3 linked regions of the Drosophila melanogaster genome follow. The protein of the gene in region 1 interacts with the protein of each later gene in a pairwise test. Each region holds a gene or a part of one and is shown in the gene's direction. Other genes may lie near its edges. The genes, in order: CG10918, CG10737 and CG11269.

What was found.
Region 2: the proteins of CG10918 (region 1) and CG10737 interact in a two-hybrid assay, tested with the Drosophila melanogaster proteins (one large-scale study listed by BioGRID).
Region 3: the proteins of CG10918 (region 1) and CG11269 interact in a two-hybrid assay, tested with the Drosophila melanogaster proteins (one large-scale study listed by BioGRID).

Annotation. Positions count from the first base shown.
Region 1 is NC_004354.4:21,428,029-21,430,933, reverse strand, and holds CG10918 (uncharacterized protein), read left to right. Parts: upstream 1-1,677; 5' UTR 1,678-1,690; coding exon 1,691-2,242; 3' UTR 2,243-2,320; downstream 2,321-2,905.
Region 2 is NT_033778.4:19,162,067-19,165,832, forward strand, and holds the start of CG10737 (uncharacterized protein), read left to right. Parts: upstream 1-2,076; 5' UTR 2,077-2,109; intron 2,110-3,097; exon of another isoform or gene 3,098-3,766.
Region 3 is NT_033778.4:22,136,843-22,139,816, forward strand, and holds CG11269 (uncharacterized protein), read left to right. Parts: upstream 1-2,052; 5' UTR 2,053-2,099; coding exon 2,100-2,423; 3' UTR 2,424-2,453; downstream 2,454-2,974.

The DNA of each region.
Region 1 (2,905 bases):
TCAAAGTTAATGAAATTTCCAAAAGGGGCAAAAGTTCAAACGACGACAATTGGGCAAGCGCAAAAGCAAGAGGAATTGGGAGAACGCAGAAAAAAAGGCGGAAAAAGGGGAAAAGTACGGGAAAATGAAGGAAAGCCGTAGGGGAAAGCAGAAGAGGGACAGCGAAGAATACCTAGAACCACCAGCTTCTCTGAAAACCCAAAAGATTGTATCCGAAAATTATATTGACACGGTCGTGAATATGTGGCGTCAGTTTCTTCAGCCACACACACACATATGTACTTACTTTTGACGCAAAAATTAATTTTCATTTATATTTTTTTTTTTTTTATCTAAGCCGCAAATTTCTTTTTCTTTTTCTTTGTCATTTCATTTTCATTTTACTCCAAACGAAGTCACCCACCTTCCGGTCCTCGAAATTTCAATTTAAAAATCCCCATATGTGCGGAAAGCGGGAAACGCCATTCTATATTCGCGATTCTTAAACGCCACCCACTCCCGCCGCCCAACTAGGTGTCCTTGTCTCAGCCGCACATTTCACTCGACGCCCTGATTGATTCTAATCAGAAAATTAAGTGGCTCCTCGAGGTCGTTTGCCATGTATTAGCACTAATGTTAAAGATTTCTCTTCCTCGACATCCGCAACTCTCGAATTGGGAAAGTCAGAAAAGCTGTTCAGAGCTTTACTTTTCAGGAACTTAATCCACATTCACTCTAAGATGTTCGATCTTCTATACATATTTTTTTATTAATATAAGAAATATATGTTTATTACTTGGCAGTTGATATAGATAGATTTTAGACATAAATAAATGGCGCAAATGAAGGCTAAGCATGTGTATTTACAAATCAATTGACTTATTTCTGCGAATAAGTGTTACCAATTGAAAGGCCTTAAAAACTAATGAATTTACATAGTTCCTAACTTTTAATAAAGCATGAGAAAATTCAACTTTCGATGCTGGAGTATAAAACAATGCTATAGTCGAGTAAACCGACTAACAGATACCCGTTGCATACGCTTCTACGACTCTAGTATACCCCTTTACTCAGCAAGTAACAGGTATAAATATGTAAATGAAAAAATGAACAAAAAATATAATTTTTCCGACTGAGTCATAGATTTTAAGAGAACTTTTAAACGAGTGCTATTAGAATAAGTAACCCAGTTGTTGACAACAAATAAACAAAGTAAATAAACAAAAATTTGCAGTAGGGTTATAAACCTTCAAATAGACATTCATTTTCTTCTAAGCAAATTTACAATTCGTCTTAGTATTTGGCTAACGTTATGATTGTTTTTTGTTTCATTGTGAGGATACTGCGTAAATTTCTGTAAACTTCCCTCTCTGACACAGCACTTTTTTTTAAACTCAAACGGTTGTATTAAAATAGAAGAATAGAACAATGGAACTAATTCAAACATCGACCAGCTGTTGCCACACGACGAATGAAACAAGAGAAACACACGGATTATTAGATGCGAAGAATTCGAGCTCAGCTCTTCAGGGAGTTCTTCGCTCTATTTTCCATTCTTCGGAGTATCCAGCTAAGCACACAGCCAATGCTGCCGTCACGGGGGATTCTTAGCAAAAAGGCTGATGGATGAATTCGACACCGAATTTTTGGGTATAAAAGGGGCTACACGTACATAACTCAAATCAGTTGCTATTGGAGCAAAAGTCCCACAATGCGTGCCTACATTGCAATTACCCTGCTGGCCCTGGTGGCAGTTGTCGTGGCCCAAGGGGGAGGCGGAAGACGTGGTGGACGCGGTGGCGGCGGAGGCGGTGGCCGAAGTCTTGGAGGATTCGGAGGACGTGGAGGCGGTGGCTTCGGCGGTCGCGGTGGTCCTGGTGGTACTGGTGGCCCCGGTGGCTTCGGCGGACCTGGTCGCTTTGGAGGGCCTGGAGGACTTGGCGGTGGTGGAGGATTCGGAGGTCCCGGCCGCTTTGGCGGTCCCGGAAGCTTCAATGGTGGATTCGGCGGTCCTGGCGGTTGGGGCCCACGTCCACGTCCTCGTCGCCCAAGACCTTGGTGGACGACAACGGAGAGTTCCTTGGCCGACACCAGCAGCACAACTAGCAGCTCCTCCAGCTCCACCGACAGCAGCTCCTCTGCCAGCTCCACTGATAGCTCCACCGATAGCTCCACCGATAGCTCCACCGATAGCTCTACCGATAGCTCCACCGATAGCTCCACTGATAGCAGCTCCACGGAGAGCACTACTGGTTCGGGATAGATTCTGAGTCTCAATTGCAGCGTATTGAAAACTTTCTGGGAAATGTATGAAAATAAAATCTAATTGGCACATTGAAACTTAATTTCATTAACTTGGAATATATTAGTCATATACAGTCATATTAGTCTTACAGACTAGCCGAATCTATTCAGCAATGTCCGTTCGTATTAAGACCTTTGATTCGCACCAAAAAATATCTCGATTAGCATATGAGATTGAAAGCTGTCTCTTAAGAGAATTATCGTTTCTGTTATTTCTTCGATATCGACAGGCAAATCAATCATCTGATTAATGAAATATCATCATTTGTTATCATAAAGTAAACAGCATGAAGGCTAGTTATTTTGATAATTTAATTTTGGCAGCTGCCTGCCGAATAGCTCTATTAGGGCAAATTGAATTTTCAATAAGTGGTAGGCTAAGCGAGAATTGGACATAATAGGAAACACCCGACACCGCTGAGAACACCACATGACATATGCTGCACCATTTCGAGTCCAAAGGGGTGGTGCAACGAACGGGGGCACGGGCACAAACGTGCGGGGAACCTAGTAGGAGTAGGGACCGAAAATCCGGACGCCATATAGAAGAGGGCTGAGAGTGCGGAATGTCCAAATCCAATAAATTGACCAATAATGAACGCTCGAATGCAGCTCGAGGCGA
Region 2 (3,766 bases), on another chromosome or scaffold:
TCTATAAGTTATGTAACTAACTCTGTTGTACATTATTTTGCATAAGTCTATAAGCCAATTTTAGTGTGAGAACAAGAGAATTGCTTGCAATCTTCGGTATATCGTAATCATCCCCCCCTTTTTTCGTTTGTTCTCCATACTACCCCACCTCTACCTTTTAGTTTGTTATGCTCGCCGGGATTTATCTATTGTTTCGTACCAAAAAACAACAAAATCAAAATGAACAACGTTTGTAATTATACATAGAACGTATCTCTCTATACACAGCCACAAAAACATGCATATATATATATATATATATATGTGGTTTAATATATATGGACTACTCATTAAACTAACCTAAAGGGAACTAGTATTACGACTCAAAAACGAAATGAAAACAATTCCACAAACGTCATCCATCAAAGCTCCTGAAAAAATGGAAAAACTCCACGCATTTCCTACAACAAAACCACAACATTTTCCTAAGCACACGATCTCATACGACTCAATTTAAGAACCAGCAAGTCTTCAGCAAATCAGAAACATAAACAAACAAACAAAAAAAAAAAACAGTTCAAAGCGGAATTGAGCGTGGTGTTCAGGACTCAGAGTTAGCTCGAGCAACTTAGCATTAGTGTCACACGAATAATTACTGCGATCCAGCGATCTATACGATCTATACAGCGAAATTAGAAAGCTAAATTAACAATCGACTGCTGCGTATTATACATATTAATAATACTTATAAATATATAAAGGAACGCCCATAAATAATGTACACTCCCCCCAGACTCGGCGCAAAATGCCGCTCCTGAACATATGCGTACCAATTCAACTTCCATATACGACTAAGACTAAATAGCGAAATTATTGAAAGATAGCAGGCCAAGCAAATCGGAAAAAAAGGTGGATCAGATAGTGGGAAAGCGGAAGGACGAAAGGAAGGACACGAGGCGGGAGCAGAGGAAGGATAAAGGATAAGAAGAGTTTAGTTCTTAAGCATAAAGAAGTGAAATTGTTTATTAAGTGGACAAAAATTTATTTATACTGAAAAGTGAAAGCGATAGAGAGTGGTAGTTGTGTATAATTCGAATACATATATACATTTTAATTTTTTGTAATTTAACAATAATTTATATTGACTGTGCGAGGTTGCGTCGATATATGATATATATGATTATATAGAGTATATGAAATACCTAGTTATATGACGGCCACACACACGGTCCGGTCCGGTGTGTATGTAAATGTTATGATTTTTGTATTTTTATATATGATCTTTGCATTGCGAAAACAATGGAAACAATTTAATATTAAACACACGTAAACTATTTTAAACGAAGCAAATGAAAATCGATGCGCCTTGCAGTGGGCGCAACCTTTTTATGTATTAAATTAAATATATTATACACTTATATACAACCAGAATATTCAATATACATACAAGAGATGAGGAAACGATGTAGCAGCCAGCATTGACTCGAGATCAAAATATATATTAAAAATCAGCAACGGATTCACTTAGATCGTTAAGGGGCGTAAGTTATAGAAGCGGCGGCGATCGGGAAACGAAGTAGAAGCGCAAAAACATTATATGCATATTCAACAAAAGAACGTAAAGTGAAATAAACAGCAACGTTTGTATGTAAAAAAAAAACCAACATTTGTTTCAATTTTCTACATTTATGGCAGTAAAGGTCTTGGACTATTAGGCTGCTATTTTTCAGATTTAAAATTATTATATTATTTATGTTTGAATTTTGCAGTTTAAAACGAGCTGCTTTCCCGCTAAAAATGTTTTGAGTTTAAAGGATTCTGCGGTTTGGATTCGAATCATAGTATATGGAGTTGCCACAAAATCTATGTGTTGCTTTATCGATTTTTCAATGTTGAAACTTATAAACATGGATACAATTGTTTCTTCCAAATTTACAATGAACTTAAAAACTAAGATCAATAAAAAATATATTTTTTAGAAACCATGTTGCGCAACATTTGCAGGGAGCAACAAGTGCCTAAACATGGCTATCGATACCAAGACGACAAATATCGATAATTTTTCTTCTACTCTTTTAACATTAATGTTATGAGCGAATGTTATTCTCTCTTTGACATTCAACGAGTAAGGTTGGTGTTCGTTTCGTTCGCGGATGAAAAATAAAATAGCGGCGGCAAAGATTTCTTATTGTTCCTAGTGCTCAACAGAAAAAAAAGAACATAAAATAAAGAAACAAAATGATAAAACGAAAGCTTATTCGATAAGCGTGTGTACGTTGTATATGGGAAATTTGGCAACAAACCGCAAAAATATTTGTTGTACCGCAGCAAAATATTTAAAAAGCATTGCAGAAATATACAATTTAACATATAAACTGTGCGCGCGTGTTTCTGTGTGTGCGTGTGTGGCTATGTGTTGCTTGTTCTACACAAAAACAATTTATTATAATGCCGAACTTAAATCGAAATTAAAGACTGCCGAAAAGCAGCGTTCTTCATTGATGCTGCAAACAGCTGATTGTCTCGCTCTCTCTCTTTCTCTTCAGTGGTTCTAATTGTTGTTGTTGTTATTGTGGCTGGGGAAATTTAAATGTTGGCCAAGTTTAAATAGAAAACCACTAAAGCGACTGTGTGGCCCAGTAGTAACGTGTCAGTGTAAAGTAGTTAAAACTAAAACCGGGTAGTGCAGTGTAAAGCACACAAAGGCCAACGGACAATCTACATAATTTGAATGTTATGATTTCTTATCGAAGACATTCAAATATAACAGAGAAACAATCGCAAAAGAAACTTTTATGAGCAAGCGGAAGCAACCGACGACATTGAACTTAAGTTTGAATACAACACAGGCGAACTTGAATAACTCGATTGTATTTTATTTAAACTTGAGTGGCTTCCACTATTCTGTTTTTGATTATCTGTAACTTGAGTGGCTTCATTCGATTTGAATTTAAATATTGTGGAATTTTTAATGCTTTACTAAATTTTATATAGCAAAATGCCAATTTCAAGCGTCAAAACTTAGATTTACACTTTTTAGCATAAATCGAAAATATTGTTATTGCTGAAATGACGACTTTATTGAACAAAAGATATCAATTGTGTCTTTCAATTTTAGTTAATTTTACGGAAGTTTGTAAAATTCTTCACACGTCTACTCGATTTGCCTCGCCTCCCCTCTTCGCTTCTCCTTTATCGCCATCTTCGCAACGAACAAAGTGACAAAAACACAACAAAAAAAAAGAACAATAACAAACGAAAGAATTTCATCATCAACGCGAGAAGAGCACGACTATCTTCTATCTCGCTGCAGCGAAATAGTTAAATAATTTGAAAAATATTAAGTAATAAAATACGAAACGGCATTATTTTTGAGACAAGAATAATCGGCAGTGTTTTGGTAGAACTTTTTGTTGTTTGCACTAAATCGAAATTCGTAGGAATATTATTTGCTAACGTGGCCTTTAAAATTCGGTCAACCGTGTGAGTAGAGCATATAAAAATTCAGTGAAAACACCATTTGTTTACTATGTGTGCCAAGCTTTTCCGCCCGCCACCACCACCCCCTTTTGAAAACCAACCACCACACTCCCTCTCCTTTATCGATTTGCATTTCGCACAGAGAAATTGCTGGCCCTAAATAACTGGCTCTGGAATTTAATGAAACTTTTATATATTTGGCCACCTAACTCACGTGCAAACCATACTGAAATACATGCACATGAATACCCACAAATTGAGCAGGGTCTAAGCTTTTTGTCACTAATCAATCACTGGGTATTTGCAT
Region 3 (2,974 bases), on another chromosome or scaffold:
TCAGATTTTATGCTTTGGTGCTCTTCTCTTAAAATTTGTGTTTTGGAGAGACTCGTTCTCATCTCTCGTTGAGCGACGCGAGCGAGAGAGGCAAACTATTTAAGCCACATCGCAAGGCAACTCGTGTTCAATCTTTGTTTTCGTAGCGCGGCGGTCGCATCGGAGTCGAGAACTCGAAGTGAAGGTGCACGAAGAATTCGATAAATACAATTAAATAGTTTTGAATATATTGCGGTGATTTTTGGATTTGCATACCGGTTTTCGAGAAGCGAATTCGTAAAAACATGTTATGTTTAAATATCGAGAAGTGTCCCAAAGTGCGAAACAAACCGATTTAACAACAAATGCCCAAAGCGAATCACAAACGTGAGAGAAACAATAAATATATAAAGTGAATTATTATAGCATAAAATGAATTATTCTCTTATCAGTGTGTACATTATATTTTCATAAAGCACAAATAAAATTCAGTGAAGACATTAACAAATTCAAGCTAAAAGTTAAACTGAAAGCTAAACACTTTTTTTTGTTGAAATTGCAATTTTTTTTATTATAAATGTTTGTACTGATAATTGCGCTTACAACAAAAACGAATACACAAATCAAAGCAAGTGTCTGTGTGATTGTAAAGAAGAATGTGCTAAGCAAATAAGGCAAATAACAACCATATAACTGTAACTGAAATCCCACACTGAGAAAATAATCAGCGAAGAATAATATTTTGACATCCGTCTCTTGAAATATAAGATCAAACTTTAGGTTAATACTCATTAGAAATATATCAATAAGCTATGAAATATCATTTAAATAAAAATGTAGTGATCTTATTTTCATTTTTCTTCGTGCTCTCATAAGACAAGTTGATTGATTTGCGCAAAGGGAATTCGAGACACTTAAGATATTACCAAGTTCAGTGAGCAACCGCCCTAATGTCAAGGTCTTTCGCTTGGGGATCGGGTTTTAACCTAATGGACTTGACCCCCATTTTCTGTGGCTGTACGAAATCCGCAGCTTAAGTTACCAGCAAAACATATTTACTCAATTAGAGCTGACACCTATTATGTCTCAAGTTGCAACACGTGGTGCAATAAGTAAAAAATATTTTATCAATTCTGTTTAATTTTCCTAATTTTTGATTTCTCTCTAATCGTGTCTAGTAACCCATAAAACTAACGACAATTCGCATAAACAAACATAATAAAGGAAACGTTAGTAAAACAACAGAGTGTAAAAAAGGTTTAGCAACCGCGAAAACGACTTACGAATTTTCACAACAACTTGATGTTTTGTAACGGAGTTTCAAGAAACTAGTAAAAACTTTATTGTGAATTCTTCTGCTGCTTCTTCTTTGCAAGTGTGGCAAAAATTTTGTTGCTCTGCGGATTTATCGAGAACATCAACCACTCACGGTAAGTTGTGCTAATTATTGCTTAAACTTATTTAGTTGGCTATTTTTATTGCAATTTCTTGAGCATGATTCACAAGGGGAATTCAAATCAGAGGCTGCCCTTTAATGAATCAGCTACTTGGTTGGCATGGCCTACATTCAGTTCTCTAAAAATCACTTCTGATATATAAATACGCAGAACTAAATGCAGCCACTGATTTGAAATATCAAATATATTGCAGGTCTTCGTTCTGCATAAGCTTGATGTTCTGAAGTATATTGTATACATCGTTTTTTTGACGTGCTTTTCAAGTGTTAATAAGTTGAGCTGCTTCTATATCATACTCATATGTATGTGTGCAAATGATATATCTGTCAGTTGTCCATCATTGGCTAAGATCAAATCCGAATCTAAGCCATTTCGAGTTGAACAAACCCAATCGCAACGCCGCCGAAAGCGAGAGGCACGGGTACGTGAACTCCATATTCCGACCACTCTGATCTAATGCCGCTGAAATCGCACAAGGTTGTACTTGTGTACGAGCGTATGTAGATAGATGGATGAATAGTATGTGGTCCAATACATTCCGATTTCGATTTCGGATTCGGTTTCGCTTTCGAAGTCGGCTTAAACTTGGCACCTGTTGCGGTCAGAGCAACACTCGACTACACTGTCGCACAAAGTTCGCATAGAATTGAATCGAGCTTGAAAATGTTTTGTGGTCGCAAGTGCTGTCTGTTCTGCCTGTTCATGAGCGCCTGGGGCTTCTTGATGCTGAATCTGCTGGGTATCTTCTTCTACGTCCAGTCACTGATGCTCCTGGAGTCCCTGCCCTTGCCCCACCACTTCCCCAGTCAGGAGGCCTTCAAGGAGCAGGCGGACGAGGCCTACCAGGACGTGTCCACACGGTGCTTTGTAGCCGCCGTTTTCTATCTGGGATTCGTCTTCATTGCGATAGTGGCCATTCGTCGGGATAACAAGAGAAGGAAGCGACTCTACAAGCGGGGTCCCGGTCACTTGCGATTCCGTCGTTGATTTGTATGATTGGTTATTGAATAAACAATTTATTTTCATGGTTCCAATTGCATTTCACCCACTCAGCGACGTCCACCCACTTGTTGGTTCGAAAGATCGAAAGAACCAGTTTGTTGACCGCATTCTGCGATTAGCCTTAACTTCTTTATCGCCAAGCCACTTTTCGATTTCAAGTCTGGCTGACTGTTGTCCACTCCGCATTATGCATTCGTCTCGGACCAACCGATTTTTGACAGCGCACGTGACACCTTCACCGAGGTGTGTTCTCTTTTGGGCATCATAAATTTCCGTGAAATTCTCTTTCCGAAACATGCTAATGGGAATGGGGTGTGGGTTCCCAGTTCTGGCTATTCCCCCCCCTTTCACCTCTATACCGTAGTCTAGTCTACACCGGGGTTATGTATCTTGTTCTTATCGACCGAGCTTTTGTGTCTTACACGAAAACCGTTGTGTAAATTATCGTACACGATTTTCTAGTTGTACGCTTGTGTATCTGGCTTGTTATCACCACCAACCAAGTGCAGTCTGCTGAAAACTGGTTCACTGCATTT